Linked DNA regions of Caenorhabditis elegans. The protein of the gene in region 1 interacts with the protein of each later gene in a pairwise test. Each region holds a gene or a part of one and is shown in the gene's direction. Other genes may lie near its edges.

What was found.
Region 2: the proteins of bag-1 (region 1) and nhr-2 interact in a two-hybrid assay, tested with the Caenorhabditis elegans proteins (one large-scale study listed by BioGRID).
Region 3: the proteins of bag-1 (region 1) and ubxn-2 interact in a two-hybrid assay, tested with the Caenorhabditis elegans proteins (one large-scale study listed by BioGRID).
Region 4: the proteins of bag-1 (region 1) and metl-9 interact in a two-hybrid assay, tested with the Caenorhabditis elegans proteins (one large-scale study listed by BioGRID).

The regions. Positions count from the first base shown.
Region 1 is NC_003279.8:6,563,103-6,566,473, reverse strand, and holds bag-1 (BAG family molecular chaperone regulator 1), read left to right. Parts: upstream 1-2,022; 5' UTR 2,023-2,024; coding exon 2,025-2,184; intron 2,185-2,228; coding exon 2,229-2,572; intron 2,573-2,634; coding exon 2,635-2,763; 3' UTR 2,764-2,845; downstream 2,846-3,371. Other genes in the region: syp-6 (Thyroid receptor-interacting protein 11), read right to left, coding at 1-77, 124-197, 243-301; mei-2 (Meiotic spindle formation protein 2), read left to right, coding at 624-736, 783-1,069, 1,117-1,269, 1,317-1,606; tmed-3 (GOLD domain-containing protein), read right to left, coding at 2,939-3,118, 3,284-3,371. UniProt on the Caenorhabditis elegans protein: May inhibit the chaperone activity of HSP70/HSC70 by promoting substrate release in an ATP-dependent manner.
Region 2 is NC_003279.8:5,817,942-5,822,713, reverse strand, and holds nhr-2 (Nuclear hormone receptor family member nhr-2), read left to right. Parts: upstream 1-1,579; 5' UTR 1,580-1,605; coding exon 1,606-1,715; intron 1,716-1,794; coding exon 1,795-1,989; intron 1,990-2,560; coding exon 2,561-3,038; intron 3,039-3,088; coding exon 3,089-3,610; intron 3,611-3,728; coding exon 3,729-3,842; 3' UTR 3,843-4,240; downstream 4,241-4,772. Other genes in the region: hmg-3 (FACT complex subunit ssrp1-B), read left to right, coding at 4,589-4,772. UniProt on the Caenorhabditis elegans protein: Orphan nuclear receptor.
Region 3 is NC_003282.8:2,719,776-2,727,542, reverse strand, and holds ubxn-2 (UBX domain-containing protein 2), read left to right. Parts: upstream 1-1,723; coding exon 1,724-1,734; intron 1,735-1,785; coding exon 1,786-1,896; intron 1,897-1,952; coding exon 1,953-2,100; intron 2,101-2,196; coding exon 2,197-2,303; intron 2,304-4,349; coding exon 4,350-4,644; coding exon of another isoform or gene 4,645-4,713; intron 4,714-6,439; coding exon 6,440-6,528; intron 6,529-6,833; coding exon 6,834-6,978; 3' UTR 6,979-7,230; downstream 7,231-7,767. Other genes in the region: ndua-12 (putative NADH dehydrogenase [ubiquinone] 1 alpha subcomplex subunit 12), read left to right, coding at 7,709-7,767. UniProt on the Caenorhabditis elegans protein: Ubiquitin-binding protein which acts as an adapter for ATPase cdc-48.1 and/or cdc-48.2, conferring substrate specificity.
Region 4 is NC_003284.9:5,176,972-5,181,031, reverse strand, and holds metl-9 (DREV methyltransferase), read left to right. Parts: upstream 1-1,881; 5' UTR 1,882-1,917; coding exon 1,918-1,977; intron 1,978-2,033; coding exon 2,034-2,303; intron 2,304-2,349; coding exon 2,350-2,436; intron 2,437-2,715; coding exon 2,716-2,825; intron 2,826-2,873; coding exon 2,874-3,147; intron 3,148-3,197; coding exon 3,198-3,332; 3' UTR 3,333-3,513; downstream 3,514-4,060. Other genes in the region: sru-48 (Serpentine Receptor, class T), read right to left, coding at 1-197, 373-582, 628-858; Zinc finger C2HC domain-containing protein zchc-1A, read right to left, coding at 3,601-3,739, 4,022-4,060.

The DNA.
Region 1 (3,371 bases):
TTTCACATCTTTATCGCTGACTGACATTTCTTCTGCGGCTGTTGCCGAATGTTTGACTTGTGAACAACACGAATCGACTGAAAAAATGTAATTCGTTTGCAACCAAGAACGAAAATCGCCTACGGAGTGCATGGTTTCTTGATAGGTCTCTACACTGTCTTTGAAAGCTCGAAAACTTTTTTTCGAGTAGGTTATTGCTGAAATTAAATTAATATAAACTGTTTCTTTTTTTGGTGACTTACTTTCTGATGATCGACTTGACTTTCGCTTCATTTTCCAACAAACCAAGTACTGGAGCCATTTACTATAAGAACTAAATTAAATATTAAATATATCGTTTCAAGAATTCATTGGAATGAGGCAAAAGTAAATACTTAGGATTAAAAAATCCAGCTTTATATTAAAAACTTTAAAGGCGCATATGAGATGTTATTCGGGTCCCGCAGCGCTCATGCGGGGTACGATAGTACTTCAAAGAATTACGCGGGAATTTCTTTTATGCGGGAAAACGGTTTTTTCTTGTTTACTAGTTCCTTTCTTTCGTCTAATTTTGATATCTTGTGTTTTTTTCCAATTATAAAATGTTTGTCTCTTCTTAAATTTGAAATTTTGAAATTTTTCAGATGTCAGGGCTTGACGACCGGAAAAAACTAACACATGCAAAAAATAGGAAGCCTCTCAACGACATTCCGAAATCCGCTGAAAACAGACCAAATACAAGATCTACTTCGAGTCGGTGAGTTCTACGAAAAAAGTATCTGAAGCGATTATATTTTTTTCAGACGCGGTGCGGAAAAGGACGTTCCCATCACTTTCATCGGGAGTTCTCGAACTGTGAAAGCCGATCTGCCCGAGTTCACAAATACTCGCTCAAGACGTCCATTGCATTCCGAGTCGAAGAAGGAATTGTCTCGGAACCCGGTTTCGAGAGGTGAAGAACATAGCAGTTCTTTGCCAAAATCCTCCCCAGAATCATCCGTGTCAGTCATGTCATCAAACGCGTCGTTGTGGTCCGCATGCACCGAGGAAGTGAATAAAATCGGTGTTTGTGCGAAGCGAGAGAGCAGAAGTAGGATTTGCAGAGTTTTGATTTTTCAGTTTATGTTTTCTTTTCAGATCTTCGTGTTTATAAGATGAAGAGTTTCACAAGTAACATGGAACAGATATTGTCAAACGACAACCAACTCGCTCCCACAGTCATTAGAATTCTGAATAGTAGAAACTCTTGGTGTCTCAACTCGTGCCATGCTTGTTTAACATTTATCATGGGTTGGTTTTGCTTCCTGATAAATTTATTCTAATGTTTTGTAATTCAGAAAATATCACGAGCGACAATTATGGGAAGCGATCGGCTTGCTTGAAGGCTCTTGCATCAATTACCAACAGTTTACTGGACACAATCATCGGATTTGCATCCACCAAAACTCGGCGAATTGGAGTCGATGTGGTAGCTGAAGAGCGAGCTGCAAAAGCAACAGAGTGCATTCACAATTTTCGCAAAATAGTTAAAAATCGGGACAAAATCTACAAACAGATTGACCAGGAGACAATTTACAAACTCGATGCCATTCTCGAGCGATTGAAAAAAGTTTCCAGCCATAAGTAATTTTCTTGTAAATAATTGCATACTTATTATTCAACCGATGGTTATCACCCAACTCACTGTTTATTTTATTGCTCATACATTGTGTTTCTTACATGTCCAATATAAAAACTATCATGTGCTCTCGTATTGTGACTTAAAAACAAAAATGGGCTAATTTAATGTCCCTCACAGTATCGTACGAAAACGGTGATTCATTGTCTATGGAATCGTTTTTCTCTGAAGTCTCTGAGCGAGTGCGCCCCATTGCAATCGATGTGTACACCTCGTGGAGGAACTGATTTTCGCATAAGCTTCTCGTCATTTCTAGAAGTTTCTTAATTTTCTAATAAGTTAACAATAATTTTGTTCCAATTTCTTATTTATCGACACTCGGAGGCTTCTCCCACTGCTAAAACTGTCTCAAAATCAATTTTCAGAAATGAAGGTGAATGTGTCGTGTTCATCCGTTCAAACTACAATCGACATTCTTGAGGAAAATCAAGGAGAAGACGAATCTATTTTGACACTTGGGCAGCTACGCGATCGAATCGCCACCGACAATGATGTTGATGTTGAAACCATGAAGTTGTTGCACAGAGGTTGTTTCTGATTTTTTGGAATAATGAGACAAAGTATTTTACAGGAAAGTTTCTTCAAGGCGCCGACGATGTCTCCCTTTCTACTTTAAATTTTAAAGAAAATGATAAAATCATTGTGATGGGTGGAAAAAATGCTTTGGTTGATGACGCGGGCTTCAAAATGCTCATGCAATATGAGAAGCATAATTTGAGCAATCTTCAAAAAGCCTATGATCTCAATTTGAGAGATGTCGCTGATTTGGAACGTGGTTTTCTCGAAAAACCAAAGCAGGTCGAGATGGGGAAAAAGCTGGAAAAGAAAGTGAAATATTTCAACGAAGAGGCGGAAAGACATCTGGAAACTCTTGATGGGATGAATATTATCACTGAAACTACTCCCGAAAATCAGGTGTGTCATAATTTTATTTTGTACTTTGAATAAGTTTTCGATTCAGTTCAATCAACTTTCAGGCTAAGCGAAACCGTGAAAAACGCAAGACGCTCGTAAACGGAATCCAAACTCTTCTTAATCAAAATGACGCACTTCTTCGGAGACTCCAGGAATATCAGTCAGTTCTCAACGGAGACATTCCTGAATAATTCTCAATTGCATAAAATTGCTTCGGGTTTTTATGTTATGAAACTCAGTTATAAATCAATAAATTATATTCTTATGCTATGTATCAAAGGGAGGAAAAGGGGCAAAACAACTGACGGGACCCATTAAAATGAGAAGGCTGCTAATTACAAAAAAAAGAGCAATGGTGTGAAAAAATTAATAACGAGTTCTTTTATCATTGAAAAATGATTTGAGCAGGAAAACTTGGCCAATTCCAATGAATACTACGACGGCAGATTGACCAAGGGACCAGATCATCACGCGCTCGTTGAGTTCTTCTGCACGTTTGCGACCAGTTGCTTCACGGAGACGATGATGAGTTTGATAGTCATCAATCTACAAAAAAGTTTATAAGTATGTCAAATGTCGGGTGAACAACTTTTTTAGTAAGCTCCCAGCAAAATAGAGTTGGAAAAATGAACGAATTCATAAAATTCGAAAAAGTTACGTTTTGAGCATTTTCTAATTGTAAAAATAAATCTTTTTAAATAAAAATCTTACTGTTCTCAATTTATCTCCAATAGCGACTGCATAATTTTCTAATTGAGTCATTGCATGAGCTCCTTGAGTAACGGCAGCATGAAGAGCA
Region 2 (4,772 bases), 750 kb from region 1:
GCCGACTGACGTAACACAGAATGATAGTTTATTGGAGGAAAACAAATGGGCTCTCGAGATAACTGGAGTAGATTACGCAGTTTTGAAATATCGCAGTATTCTTCACTGTCTATCTAAAATCTTATAAAACCAAAAATTACCTCCAAATGGGTTTCTTGGAAAACTACATGGTTCGGAAAATTCGGAATTGTTTGGTATTTTCAATTTATTTTTGAAATTTTCATACACTATTTCCAATTCTTAGTTGGAAAAATTGTTGTTAACAAATTTAAATGTTTTTTTTTGTTGAAAAGTCTTAAAATTTCAAAAAAATATCAAACAATACATATATTTTGCGAAATTTTCGAATTACTTACTTAAGTTTAGAAACGGTTTTGAATACTGAATTCTAGAATATTTCCAGCAATGATTCTCGTCACTAAATGTTTTCTCATTAGCTAAATTAAAATTGACAGCTCGGCCGTTGATGATCCCTTCTGAAAAGAATCAAGATTAGATAACCCCAATCGTTGTCTATTTTCAGAATAAATCGATATTTATAGTTTGACCTTTCCCTTCTGTCAGAATGTATTCGACCATCTGTGCTAAATTGGGGATGGATTAAAGATCCTTCATTAACCTCTATATTACTGTACTATTATAGTATTCTCTGACACATAGCCTCTCTATAGATAGGGGTTACAGAAATGAAATGTTACCCCAAAAGAGGGTTATGAGCATAGAGTTCCAGCAAAAGAATTGACCTACAAAGAACCAAACTTGGCGGCTAATTAATGTTTTGAAAAATTATGACGTCACACTATTGCTTAGATTTCAGCCATGTACTGATTTAATCACAAACATAATCTAGATATAATCTATCAAATTTCTATTCTGACTGTGTGTGTCTTTCAGAAAACCTTTAAATTTCACTTTCCGGAAGAGATGTACAACTATTTTCACTTACAGCAATACTTTTTGGTCGATATATTCCAGCTACAATGACGAAATGTTTTTGGATTAGGGACTGTAGGTGTACTGTAGCTACAGTGCTGTAGCTGAATTTAAATATTATTTTACAGCGTATGAGAACATTATAGGCTACTTGTGTTACCGCTGGGTCCGTAGTTGTTTGGCTTCGAGAGAGGGAAATTTCCTGAAAATTAATGTTCAAGAGCTCTACTATTTCTTCGACACTTTTTCTCACTGAAACTTGATAGACTCTTATTCTGCAACTCATATGCCAACTGAGAACCATACCCAATTTCTCAACAATATCTGTTAGTTTTATCCGAACGCACAAATATATTACAACACCACACTGCGAATATTTGGAAGAGATGTCATCACACCCACTTTCCATCTCTTCACTGTCACCTTCTTATTCCCATAGACCACCAGGGGCGGAGCAGCACACCGTCGTTGCAGGCAGAACGAGCAAGAGTGCGCGAGAACAGTGTGTGCAAGGTCAGATGGTCATTATGCAACCAATTCGAGCGTTCGTTGACCAACATTTTCGCGCGTTCTGTCAGTCTGTTGAATTGTACACTATTTCATAGTATACTCTTTTTTTCAATTTATTAACTCTTATTATTTTTCTATCTCTATTTCTTTTCTAGTTTTCAGATGGTTCCAATGAATCCAGAATTGATGCATTATCCAAATCAACCACATATGATGCCAGGCTATCCAATGATAAATGCATATCAACAGTCATATTTACAGAATCCGGCACAGTAAGTTTTTATATTTCTGTATCCAGTCATAACTTTTCGTGCATTCGAATTATTACAAAACACCAATTCTCACTTTCAGATGGACCCCAGAAATGCTTCTGTGTATGCAAATGCAAATGCAGCAAATGGTTCCAGGAACAGCAACAAACTCAACCTACATGCCACCACAATCTAAAAATACAGTCACTCCAAATGCCACATCACCGCTGAGCCAGATTTCGGACAGAGATTCGGGAAATGACACAATCTCTCCACCACTCACTTCACAGAACAGGTATGTATTTCTTCTGCGCGGTAAAAAGAAGAGTTGCGCAATGTTTGAGTGTTTGGGCGGTCTCTACTTTATGGTCCAATTTGTTTCACGCAATACGTAGAAACAGGTCACCTTGTGACGTGGCAACTGGGTAAGAGAGTGACAGGTCAGAAGAGGGGGCAGATGGGGGACTGTATTGATGACGTGGCAGATGTTACCTCCTAATGATGAATCATATTGAATCCTATTGGCAGGATTCAAGACATCTAAACGGGAATCTCTTTCAACTGGCAAGGTTGGAAGTGGGATTTGAAAATTCAGTTAGTGATTTCAAGTTGATGTAATTTTTACCAATTCACACCTAATTAGAACAAAGAGCGGTTAGATGCAACAAAAAATATTTTAAGATGTTGTACAAAGAGATTAGGTGAGAACAATAGAGTCAGATTTAGCGGAATTTGAGAACACGGTTGTACAGTATGCCGAGGGAATTCTACGTTTCAGCGAGTTACTAAATTAATAAATAAGGCAACGATGACTGGAAGATTACTTTATCCTTTCTATAGTAAAAACGTTAAATTCAATTTTTCAGCGCAACCACTCCAAACTACCATAATCAGCCACAAATGCAATTGACTCCACTTCAACAAGCAAAACCAGAAAAAGAAGAAATCTCACCATATGCAATTAATAATATTCTTTCTTCGACTCAAAGTTCTCCAGACAACGGAAATGAAGCCGATGATAAAGAGAACAGTTCTGTTCGTCGTAACACATTCCCAGCGTCATCTGCTTCAACAAAAAAGCCACGTGGTACTCCATATGACCGTACTAACACACCAATGACAGTAGTTCCACAAATGCCACAGTTTGCTCCAGACTTTTCAAACTATAATCTCACAATGAATGCTTGGAGTGAGTTCTTTAAAAAGGATAGATGTATGGTTTGTGGTGATAACTCTACTGGATATCATTATGGAGTACAGAGTTGTGAAGGATGCAAGGGATTTTTCAGAAGAAGTGTTCACAAGAATATCGCATATGTTTGTACCAAAGGAGAAAATTGCACAGTGAGTTTAATTAGACAAGCATTTCAAAAATATGCTATTATATTTTTCAGTTCTCATATGAAAATTGTGCGGCAAATCGTGGAGTACGTACTCGTTGTCAAGCTTGTCGATTTGCCAAATGCCTCGCAGTTGGAATGAATCGTGACAACGTTCGAGTGAACAAAGAAACTGATAAAGATGTTAAACCATCAGTGGCTTCGCCCAATTTTGAGATGACATCACAAGTGAAAGAGCTTACGGCCGCCTTTGTTGCAAACATGCCATGCTCTACTCACTTAACATCGGGAACTCATGCTATTGGAGCAATTAAGAAATTTATTGAATCAGTTCCAGCTTTGAGCTCACTTTTGCCAAAAGATGAAAAAGCACTTGAAATGAGTATTCAAAAAGTGATGAGTGGTATCTTGGCTATTCGTGCGGCTTTCACATTTGATCCAATCACTTTCTATTCCTGTGAGAATCCAGTAAATTTGCTTCGTGGCGGCATTCGTAATACAGTATTCAATGATTGTGAAGTTGCACTTCTCTCTGGAATTCATATACTTCAAATAGTCAATGGAGGTGTCGCTGAGGTAAGTAATTGTTTGGCATAATGCCAAAATTGTCGGAATATTCCCAAATGACACAATTAATCCCTACCATAACACTCAAGAAAGTAAATATTGCGCCAAGAAAGTTAACCTTTTTCAGATTTTTACGAGTTATTGTCAAGGATTACGCCATCAACTGTCTCAAACACATCTACAAGAGATAGGACTCTGCGATCGATTGCTCATGAGATTGGGACCGTATCTCAATCAATAACAAATATATTACTTCTGATAAATTCAGAACCGATTCGGTGTCTGGACACGCTTCCAACCGGTTCTGAATTCTCACAAAACTTTATTCCTGTCTTATGAATCAATATAGATTCAAAATACTTGTTTAAAGTCCCCTTCCCCCGTTACTATCATTTTCTATTCATGTTCTCAAAGTCTGATCATTTCTTACTGATCTCTTCCTCCAGGTGTGAATTTAATTCTCTATCTCACTCTCTCGTTCGGGCTATATACTGTTTCTTTTTGAATTTCCAATTGATGTTGTTTGTTAGGCTGTTACAGTACCAAAAATTATATTATTTGAAGTTTGTTAAAAACTTAATATATTTGGTACTGCTTCTTGGTTGTTGAAAAGATGAAATAAATATTATTTGATAATTTAACTATTTTGTATGCAGGAAAAAATTTGACGTGCCACAACTTTTACCGTTATTTGTCGTAATTTGTCGTAATAGTAATTTGTCAATTTATTTGTCAAAATTAGTCAATTATTAAAAAAATAATAAAATTAATAGAAACGGTCGTCAGATGCGGTGCTTGCGTATACAGTATACTTCGGTGTTCACGTATGATCGACTACCGTAGTTCTTTGTTTTCGGTTCGACGCGCGAAAAAATTAGAGTGCATTTTTCGAGAATTCATTTTTTTCATTCTTTTCCGGACTTTTCTTGTTCGCGGACGTTTTTCGCTTCTTTTCTTTACACGCGTTATTGACTGACAAGTTTCAGAATGACTGAGCTCAAATTCAAGGGAGTTTACGTGGAGGATATAGGCCATTTAACATGCGGAACGCTTACATTGACTGAAAATTCGATTAACTTCATAGGCGATAAGGGTGGAAAATCAGTTTACATCACAGGAACCGACGTCGATAAACTGAAATGGCAAAAGCTTGGCAACAAGCCGGGACTAC
Region 3 (7,767 bases), on another chromosome or scaffold:
AAAGATGTAGGTCACAATAGGAAACAACTTCCATGGTAGGCAAGCGCGTTTTCAGGGACCTGCCCGCCAGCCTTCCTGCTCATTGTTTGCATTTTTACGTGAATTTACAAATTTATTATATAATTTTCTCATTTCTATAAATTTGATAAATATCAAATCACTAGTTAGCATAAGAAGCGGGTTGTGGCGAGAGGCAGGCGGAGGTTGGAACTTTATACAGACGTGACCTTTCGGTCATCATGAACTTATCGCGTAAGCGACCTCTCTTTATAATTCATTACTTCTTACACTCTCTTGTAATAAACTTCTTCTCTCCTTGTCACTCGCTCAATACACAACAATAATTTTTTACTTGGAAATTGTTTTAGCATCTGCAAAAAGTATTTATTTATCAGTTTTAATAAGAAAAAACGGGAAAAAGCTGTGAAAAACGAAAGAAAACAGGCGGAAAACAAAGCAAGATAAATGGCCGCTGAAACTTGTCGGCCCCTCGGCCATGGCCTAGAAACCACTTTTCCTCGTCCCTCGTAAGGAAAAAGTTGCAGTGAAGGATCCCGTGGTTTCCCGAGCAATTTGAAATTGTCAAATTAAGTTCAAAAACCAAATGATGGTTTGAAACTACAGGAATAAATCGGTATCCTGTGTCACGTAGCCTACTTGACTTGGAGTAGGATGGCTCTAAAGTTTCGGAACATTTGCGGAAACTTGGGTTGATCATGATGTGTGTAAAGGAATGAAGCTACCGTATAATACCTGCATGCAAGAATAATTTTGATTAGTCCATTTGCAGATTTTTAAAACTTGTCGTTCAAAACAACGACTCACAGCCTCCTCACGTGGAAATGACCCAACAACAGGGGGCTTGCGCGTTTCTCGTGAGCGTGGGAAAATTTTGCCGTTGAAAAGTAATTTCCTTCAGTTTTCATGGGTTTGAAATCGATTTCAAACTTTTTAATTACGTATCAATTGTAAAGCTACTTGAGGGTAAGGTGAAGGAAAAAAAAGATTTTTGATTTTTGTTCAAAAATAAAAGCGATGATATAAAAAGAAAAAAACATCTAAAAATTGAGTTTTTCTCATATTTCGTATATTTATCATCATTTTTCTAGTGGAAATTGATGTATATTTGAAAAGTAATCTTCCACCAAAGCTTATGTTATAAAAAATATGAAGAAAAACAGTAAATTGAACGTTTTCGGTAATTTCTCAATTTTCCACGCGATGCACGAGAAGTGCGCCAATGGACCGACTTTAAATTTTTTTTTCTCATAGTCAGTGGGATTTTTTTTCAATCTGATGGTTTCTTGATGCTTTTGAGTAAAATTTTGAATATTAAAAATAAAGACATTTCAAATATATTATCAAAATCCACTTTTAGACGTGATTTCTCAGAAAAATTAGAATTTTTCCTCGATTTCAGGTAAAATTTCAGTTCACAATTGTTTTTTAAGTTTTTCCCCAAAGAAACTGTTGATTTATTATCAATTCGCAGAATTTGGACGCTGCTGGAAACGTGCCCCCGACAAGAATTGCGTCAACAGCGGCTGCTGACGCACTTCCCGCACGCGCTGGCGCGTTTCTCGGCGCGTTTTATCATTATTATTTTGTTTCCTATTTCCATCGGTTTTTCGTCGTTCTTTTTTTGTTTTTCACTCATTTTTTCTCAAATTTAATATTTTTACAGTGAAAACCTTCAATTTTCCACCACAAAACCCCGGAAAAAATGAGCAGAAAGTGAGTGTCGCCCGCGATTTTCAACCTCAAAAATCGATAAATTACTTGCAGTATTCGCACGTTTCGTGACATTGGAAACAACGACGATGGGGGGCCGGACAGCGACGATTCAGGAGCCGATGCCGCCGAGAGAGGAGCCCCACAGGAATTTTACGCTGGAAGGTAGCCGCAATTCCTAGATTTTTTAATTAAAATTTTTTAAAACTTGGATTTTTCAGCGGACAAGCAGTTCAAGGACCACGTGGAGCTGCTGCTCGAGGCCCGGATAGTGAAGCCCACATTCGGAGAATCCTTCAGGCCGCCGAAGTGGTTCAGCCAGAGGGAGGAGAAGCTCCAAGAGGACGCCCGTCAGGGAGAGAAACTATTGTAAGCCGCGGTGGGCTGCTGAAATAGCTGAAAATCATTGATTTCTGCTCATTTTTTGCGCGGCGAATTTGCTTTAAAATCGATATTTTTTTGCAGAGCCTAACGCTTCACCTGTGGTCCGACGGCTTATCGATCGAAGACGGCCCGTTAATGTCTCGCCAGGACCCCAGAACTATTGAATTCTTGGAAAGCGTCGGAAAAGGGTACGGAATGACGGAAAATGGAGGATTTCTTGAAGAAAATCGAGAGAAAATTGGATTTTTTTGACGAGAAAATCAAGATTTTCGATCCAATTTTCACTGAAAATACAAAATACAAGATTTTTTCTTAACACATAAAAATCAGTTTTTTGGCAGGAAAATCATGATTTTATCGTTGAAAATGCAAAATTCTACTTAAAATTGGGACTTTTAAGCTGTTTTCATGTAGAATTTAGTCCAAAATTTGAGTTTTTCAAAGTTTTTTCATAGTAATCCTATTTTCAGCAAACTTTACCTGGAAATTGTCCAGTTTTCGCCAAAAAAAAAATCGATTTTCCCACGATTTTTATTGATTTTAACAAATAAAATATGTGAAAAATCTTCATTTTAAACTAATTTTCACTTAAAAAATGAGAAAATCTCGATTTTTTGGCCGAAAATTTAAAAATTTGATGCTAAAAATGCAATATTTCAGCTGAAAATTGCATTTTTTAAGTTATTTTTGGGCATTATTAGCTTAAAATTGATGTTTTTCACTGTTTTAAGCTGATTTTCAGCGATTTTCTCTTGAAAATTGTTCACATTTCGATTTTTTCCACTATTCTCCTCAGTTTTTAGCAGAAAAATCGACTTTTCTTCGAATTTGCTGATTTTAAAATCAAATTTCGTTTAAAAAAACTTTTATGAATTTTCACATAAAAATGATGAAAATTCTCCAATTTCTGTCGGAAGAATTCCTGAAAATGGAATTTTTATCTTTTTTTTTCAAAAAATTCAAAATTTTGCCAAAAAATCGATTTTTCTACAAATTAGTCGCTTTTAACAGCAATTTTCGTTGAAAAAAACTCAATTTTTATAACTTTTAGCATAGAAAATGTTGAAAATGGCTTAAAAATGTTCGAACTTCTTCAAGAAAAGTGCCAAAAAATTCATTTTTTTTCACATTAAAAAATTTTTTACAGAAAACCATGAAATTTCCAATTTTTCTCCAAAAATCTCCGATATTTCTCCCTGCAAATTTGAAAATTCCCCAAAAATAATTTTTGTGAAATGCCAATTTTCAGCCAAAAATTGATTTTCTAGCGATTTAGCCGTTTTAATATCAATTTTTACACATAAAAATCGGTTTTTTGGCAGGAAAATCATGATTTTATCGTTGAAAATGCAAAATTCTACTTAAAATTGGGACTTTTAAGCTGTTTTCATGTAGAATTTAGTCCAAAATTTGAGTTTTTCATATAGTTTTAATTTTATTTTCAGCAAACGCCAAAAAAATTTTGATTTTGCAACGATTTTTGGCGGCGATTTTAATATCAACATTTGTGCAAAAATGCCAATTTTAATCAATTTTCACATAAAAATTGAGAAAATCTCGGTTTTTTGCCTGAAAATTTAGCATTTTATCGCAAAAAACGCATTGTTTCAGTTGTAAATTGTTAAGAAACCGAGGAAACCTATATTTTAATCAGTTTTTTAGCAAAAAAATCGATTTTTCTACGAATTAGCTGATTTAAATGACAATTTTCGTTGGAAAAACTCAATTTTTATGAATTTTCACATAAAAATGATGAAAATTCTCCAATTTCTGTCGGAAAAATTCCAGAAAAGGCATTTTTATCCACTAAAAAAAATTCAAAATTTTCCAATATTTTCCTCAGTTTTTAGCAAAAAAATCGATTTTCCTACAAATTTGCAGATTTTAAAATCAAATTTCGTTGGAAAAACTCAATTTTGATGAATTTTCACGAAAAAATGTTGAAATTGGCTCAAAATTCTCCAATTTCTTCGAGAAAAATCCCAAAAAAAATGGAACTTTTTTTCCATTTTTTCAAAAAACTCAAATTTTTCCAATATTTTCCTCAGTTTTTAGCAAAAAAATCGATTTTTCTACAAATTAACCGATTTTAAAATCAAATTTCGTTGAAAAAAAACTCAATTGTGATGAATTTTCACGAAAAAAAAATTGAAAATTCTCCAATTTTTACCGAAAAAAGTGCCAAAAAATCCATTTTTCACTAATTTTTCTATTTTTTTTTTGTTTTTTTTCAGTGAAATCCCTCCATCACTTGTTCAACAATATCCGGGAAAAGAAATCGATTTCAAAGTGAACCGCCACCACGAGGAGTACGTTGCTCCGAAGATGAAGCCATTCGGCGGTAGTGGAGTCCGTTTGGGAAATGTTGTCCCAACAGTTTTGGGACAATCATCGTCGTCTGCCACCACTGCTGGGACATCATCTGCAACAACTGATCATAACCCGGATCATACTGCTGAAAATGAGGCAAAACAGCTGGAAGATGCTAAGAAGGAGCTGAGCACCAATATGAATGAGCCAACGACTAATGTACGGAGTTTGTACTACGGTTTTGGAGCAGCGAAAATTTTTGGAAATTTGGAGGAAAACTGCGGCTAAAATTGGCAGTTCTAAAAGAAAAATGGACGAAAAAATTCAGTAGAAATAGGCTAAAATCAACTGCAATTAGTAATTCAGTCCCCCCACAAAACTGACCTGAAAATGCAATAAATTAGAAGAAAAACGGTCGAAAATTACCTGAAAATCATAAAAATCGAAAAAAAAAATCGGTGGCCGAACTTTTCGATTTTCTAGGCCATCAGGTGAAAAGTTAGACCCCCCCACAAAACTGACCTGACCTATCACGCAGAATGTCAAAACAAAATTGGGGGACTAATTTTTCACTTGGTGGCCTAGAAATCCAAAAGTTCGGCCACCGATTTTTCATTTAATTTTTATGTTTTTCCGGTCATTATTGATAGTTTATCTTCGCATTTTCAGCCATTTTTCCACCTGAAAACTTACAAATAACGCTTCTTAAGCACCGCTTTGACACCTCCAATCTCCTTGACCATTTGGCCAAACTTTTGGATTTTATCGATTCCCAGCCACGCTTTCAGGGACATCTGTAATGTAAATTTGGTTGGAAAAATGGGATTTTTTTTCAGTAAAAAATATGAAATTTTAACGGAATGTGGGGGAAAAAAATTTGACCAAAAAACATTTTTTTCGCCATTTTTTGGCGAAAAACTCCATATTTCCTGTGAAATATGATATTTTTCGAGTTTTTCACTGAAAAATCTTGAATTGCTCGGAAAAAATCGGAAAAATCGATTTTTCAGTGGAAAATGTACGGAGTTTGTACGGTTTTGGAGCGAAAATTTGTGAAATTTGGAGGAAAACCGGCTAAAATTGGCAGTTTTAAAAAGAAAAATCAAAGAAAAAATTCAGTAGAATTAGGCTAAAATCAACTGCAAACTTTTGAAAATTAAATTTTAAATATATGTTATCAATTATACACTAGAAAAAACATCCCAGAATCAGTTTATTTCTGAAAAATTTCAAATCGGATAAAATAAGCTTCAAAAACACTCTAAAATTAAATGATTCTGATAATAAAATATTCAAAAATTCGCTTAAATTGGGAAAAAAAATCGGTGGCCGAACTTTCGGATTTCTAGACCATCAAGTGAAAAGTTAGTCCAGCCCATTTGAAAATAGCTAGACACAATTCAAAATGGCAAGAAGACGTTTGTGGAGGACTAACATCTCAGTTGGTGGCCTAGAAATTCAAAAGTTCGGCCATCGACTTTTAAAATTTTATTTTCTTCCAATTTTTCACAAAAATGTGCTGAATTACTAATTATTCGATGGGAAACCCGAAAAAAATCGGTGGCCTAACTGTTTTAAAAAGTCGGCCACCAATTTTTTTCGCGCAAATTTGACCGTTTTTTCGTCAATTTTCCAAATAAAAAATTGCTGGCCTAGAAACCCAAACCTCGGCCACCTATTTTTCACCTAAAAACCGTACCTAAACACACCATCAGGACGCTTTTCTGCTCTCCGACGCTCATTTTCTGGGAAAAAATCAGATTTTTTTCCTGAAAAAAACGTGAAAAATCAATAAAAATATCACAAAAAGGTCGTAAAATCCTTCAAAAAATCAATAAAAATTGGCAAAAAAAAATCGATAAAAATCTACAAAATTCATATGATTTTAAACACAAAAAAAACGGAGAAAAATCTACTTTTTCGAAAAAAAAAAATTTCAGGCTCTAATTATAGATTTTCAGTCGAATTGTGGCTTCTTTCCTGATATTTTGATTAATTTTAACAAAATTTTCAGATCCAAATCCGTCTGCCAAACAATCAGCGTCTCGTCGGTATTTTTAATCATTCTCACACACTTGAAGCAGTTCGTACATTCATTTGCACGTGAGTTTTCAGCCGGAAAAAGCTATTAAAAACTCTCATTTTTCACTAGAAAAAGTAGATTTTTAGAAAATTTCGAATTAAAAAAATAAAAAAATCATCTAAAAATCACATTTTTAGCCTGAAAAATTCGAAATTTTCCAATGAATAATTATTTTTTAATAATATTTTTCTGATATACACAGTGATAGAAAAATTACATTTTTCAAATTAAAAAATTACATTTTTCAAATTAAAAAATTACATTTTTCTAGTTTTTTCTTTCAAAAAACTCAAATTTTTTTAATTTAAAAATTTTGATTTTCCAGCGCCCGCCCAGATATGATCTACGCTCCATTCCAAATGATGGCTGCCTACCCTCCAAAACCATTTGAAGACGAATCACAGACTCTGAAGGATGCAAATGTGCTCAATTCGGTCGTCGCCGTGAAAATCTTGCCCACCACCAACTGAGGAGATTCCTGACGCTGCTTTTTTGGCGGGAAAATTGAAAATTGAAAATTTCATCTGAAAAAATTTCGAATTTCTACTCGTTTTTACCCCCCAAAACCTCTCAAATTCCCTGAAAATACCTGTATTTTACGCTAAATTATTTGATTTTTTCCCCCCATTTCCCAATATCGTTTTTTTTCTTTCTTCTATCACACTTTAATGCATAAAAAAAGTACACCGTTTTCTGTGAAAAATTGCGGCGATTTTTATTGATTTTTTGTTTTGGAATTTGCGAGTTTTTCAAGCTCTGAAATATTTTTTTTATTTTTTCCAGATTTTCAGAATTTTTCAATTTTTAGTGAAAAATGCACATTTTTTACAAATTTTCCATTAAAAATTCAATTTTAAAGTCAAATTTTGAATTTTTCAGATTTTTTCCCAATTTTTCAGAGAGAAAAATCCTTCTTCTGCGATTTTTTGGTGAAAAATTTAAAGTTTTCAAAAAATGTAAAAATTCACTTTTTTTGTTCCAATTTTCCACTGAAAAATCGATTTTTCCCTGATTTTTTTCAAAAAATTCAAGATTTTTCAGTGAAAAACTCGAAAAATATCATATTTCACAGGAAATATGGAGTTTTTCGCCAAAAAATTTATAAAAAATTTTTTTTTGAAAAAATTCACAAAATGCTTGGTTTTTCCTCCCCACATTCCGTTAAAATTTCCCATTTTTCCAACCAAATTTACATTACAGATGTCCCTGAAAGCGTGGCTGGGAATCGATAAAATCCAAAAGTTTGGCCAAATGGTCAA
Region 4 (4,060 bases), on another chromosome or scaffold:
GCTAAAGTCAACGGGATGAAGAATATGTCGTGTCGTATTTCATCATAGGTTTCGGTGTAGGAGATGAAGACAGACCCGAAGCCCAAAGGAGATCCCCATTGTCTACAATAGCCTTTTGCTGGATACATAAAGTACGTAATTCCAAATGGTGAGAAGAAAGCCAACGGAATGAATGTGTAAAAAACGTAAGACGACCACTGAAAATAAGGCGTTATTAATAATGTTGACGGTATTTTCACTATTAGATTTGCGCATGTATCCCTCTACTTCAAAGGCTCATATCATGGTTGCTTTTGAGCGAAAGGGAGTGCAAGCATGGGTGCGCGGCAATTCTACAAAACGAGCCAGTGTGGCTAATTAGATAATTGTTACCTCTGCATGTCTGGTTGGAGTTACATAGACAATCATTCGAATGATAGAAAACAATAGTGAGGAAAACATTGACCAATAGGTTCCCCACATTTGTGACAGGTAAATAATTTTTAAGTAGTGATTAGGCTCCATGGCAGCACAGCTAGCTGTAACAAATCCGGTAGAAGGCACGCGGAATGCCAAATTATCAGTTATGAAGAAAATATAATGCTGAAAAAAAAAACAGATAACAAAGAAAAAATATAACCAGCTTACCGACAACTGCATAATAACCATAGATTTAAATACGTGCGGATGGATAGCTTTGGTAGCCATGGAAGGTTGGGAACAATAAATTATTGCCATTCTGATAAAACAGATAAGTCCGAGAAATACGCATGCTGACAGGCCTAGAACACACCAAGACACTGTATTCATTTTGAATTCGTAGTTCAGGTATCTACTGTCATTGTGAACAGACATAACCAATTCGGGAAACGTGGGCATTCTTCCCAAAAGTTGATTGAGCCGGAGTGAATCAGAAAGGAGAAAAGAAGAAAACTCAAAGTCAATAACAATGGTAATCTTTAACAAAAGTGTAGAGGTGTGACTTTATCGTTCAATTCTCAGGAGATTCAACCCATAAGATCTCAGATATTCTATATTCTATGCATAACTGATGAACACGTATAAGGAGTTGGGAATAATAATGATTTTAGTTTTGAAAATAACATCTCTTAAACACGAATCAGAGAAGCGGGAAAAATATCTAAATTATTGGCTTCAGAGTCATAATTACAAATGAGAAGAAAAATGAGAAAACCGGCTCTTTGACGTAAATGATTGAAGCTTACGGGAATGACTATTTGGGATACATTTCAAGTTCTGCATGGACTTGTGCACACTTGTAGTTTTGCAGTGAAAAATTATGGCTTTACATCTGACAAATACGTGGCGAAGAAGTGGAAAGGTATTACAAATGGTTTTTTTTTGGAAAGATTTCAAAAAGTTAAAGTGTGGGTTTCAAAACTGATAGTGGAACAACTAGACAATTTGGAGGGAAATATAATATATTGTTTTTTTCTGATTTTTTAAAAATGTTTCCAAGTAGCTTTCTCCCGATTTTGGCACAACGATGTTGTGGTGGAAAATCTCAAACTTGTCATCGATAACATTGATACATCTTTTTTCTGTCCTTCAACGGCTCTTTTTCACATATTGATGGGTCCCATTCGGTGTTTATTTCAAATATATTAATTGGCACGGTATGTTTTGCATTTGGACAGTGCAATGTGGCTATTAAAAACAGGCTTTAAACTAGTTAAATTCTACTTTTTTCTTCATTTCGATACGACGAAAACAATTTTCTCGCTCATCAACTCAGACCTGTAAGTTAATTTCTCAACACACTGTTCCCGCTGCGGCAAACCCGCCATCTTTTTCCTTATTGTGAATCGAGCGCGTTTGCACACACCGGGCCAACAGTGCAAAGCGTTCCCCCATTCAAACCGTCTTCGCCACACACCACCTCTCTTCCTCTTATTGTTATCGATTTTCACTGCCAAAATGTCATTTCAACTGGAGCGGACGTACGGCTTGAGAGCCCAGCATTGGTATCAGCCAGAGGTTTGTTCTTTTTAATTCAGATAATTTTTTGAAAATTTGAAAATTAATAATTTCAGACAAGTCTCTCAGATGTTGCACAAAACTTGTTCGCCGCATCGTTGCCAGATGGGGAAACGCAGCAGTTTCTTGACAACTCCAATAAAATTGCCAGCAATTTCTTTTGGCAGACGGTTCGCAACCTTGGGGTCATGATTTTGTCGACAATCTATTCGAAAACTGATATCAATGGAATGACCGGATTCGGAAACATGTTCCTTTTCAGTGAAAATCAGTTCGCCAAGTTTCTCGCAATCGAGAAAGAATCTTGGAATTCTACCGACAAAAAGGTATTTATGGGAAATTGTTTCACCAACCCGCAATTATATATTTCAGGTGCTCGATCTTGGAGCTGGCAACGGAGACATTACAGAGCACATGCGCCCATTCTTTGAGCATGTTTATGCTACAGAGTTGTCATCGGTAAGAACTTGAAATTAAAAAAAAAGGCTTTGAATACTGTAAAACATTTTATGATGACATAATGCTTTGAAAACGTTTTCTGCGTTTCTTTTCTGCGTTTTTGGCTTAATGTCAAGCAGTTATCCCAGTTTGAATTACCTAGGACAACGAATGTATCCAAATATTTGAAAAACGCCAAGCCGGCTGTTTTGAAATTCCCACTATGAAATTTAAATTTTTTTGCAAAAACGGAAACGTTACTCCTCCTGCAAGATTACTACAAACAAAGTTTTTTTGCAGAAGATGAGAAACCGGCTCAGCTGGAAGGGATACAATGTTCTCAGTGCACTCGAGTGGGCTGAAACTGATGTTAAATTTGATTTGGTCACCGCTTTCAACCTCCTCGATCGGTAAGTGAACAGAAACTCAGATTATTCAATGAAAGCTGCAAATTTCAGCCATTACTCGCCAGGAAAGCTGTTGAACGACTTGTGGAACGTCGCTCGCCGCTCAAACTGTAATGTCATCGTGTCGCTTGTGCTTCCAGTCAGCCATTACGTGGAATTCAATCCAAATGGACGAAGCACCCGACCTGACAACTACCTGAACGTTGCTGGTCGTACCTACGCCGACCATGTTCATCATATGATCGTCAATGTTTTCAAACCGGCAAATTTTGAGGTGCTCAGATGGACAAGATTGCCGTATCTTTGCGAAGGAGATATGAACAATGTGGGTGGAAGTTTGATTTGAAAATTTTTTCAAACATCAAAATATTTCAGTCTGCTTACTACCTTCCTGACGCGATCTTTCTTCTGAAACCCATCGAGCCAGAATCGCCTTCTTCCACAATCACACAGGAAACAACTTCCGTCTCCCAAGAATCTACATCTCATGCTTCACATACCGATCTTTAGACTTTCAACATAATTTATTCACAAAATACTCAGTCACCAGTCATTTATTACGGTTCTTTCAACATACCGTTGCTTCCAAATCGTGAATCCATTTCTCCAAAGTATTTTTGCAAGTTCGTGCTCACCCATTATATCGGTACCCATGATTTTATTTTTAAGTTTTAAATGAATTTTTTGAGACAAACAGCTTTACAGGAAAAGTGCATTTTTATATGTTAAAGTATTCAAAAAAGTTTAAAAAAAAACAGAAGTATACAGAATTTGAAAATCAGAAAATACGAGAGCGAGAATTATTACGACTGTTGTTTTTGGCTTGAGAGAGACGGGAGTCGCGGGAATCGTCACGCGGACAAGCTCTGGAAGATGTTCTCGAACCACTACGACTCGCTGTTGTTGTAGTCGACGCTCTGTAAACTCTATTAATTTTTCAAAAGGAAATATGATCATATTACCACCTTGAACCATTGAAAAAATATACAAGCAGAGAGATAAAAATTAGGCAATTAAACAATGGGATGGGATAATGAGGGGAACTGAACCAAATATGAAAACCAAATTGTGAAGAAAAATGAATAAATCAAGTCAGTGGTTGATGCTCATTTTACTCATACGTTGAGCCAAGGAGATTCTGAAATGGGTAAACGAAATGCAGACGACACAAAATATAATTGGCGTGAAGAAAAACTCACGGTGTTTTTAGGCGTTGTTGTGGAGTAGAAGACTGTTGT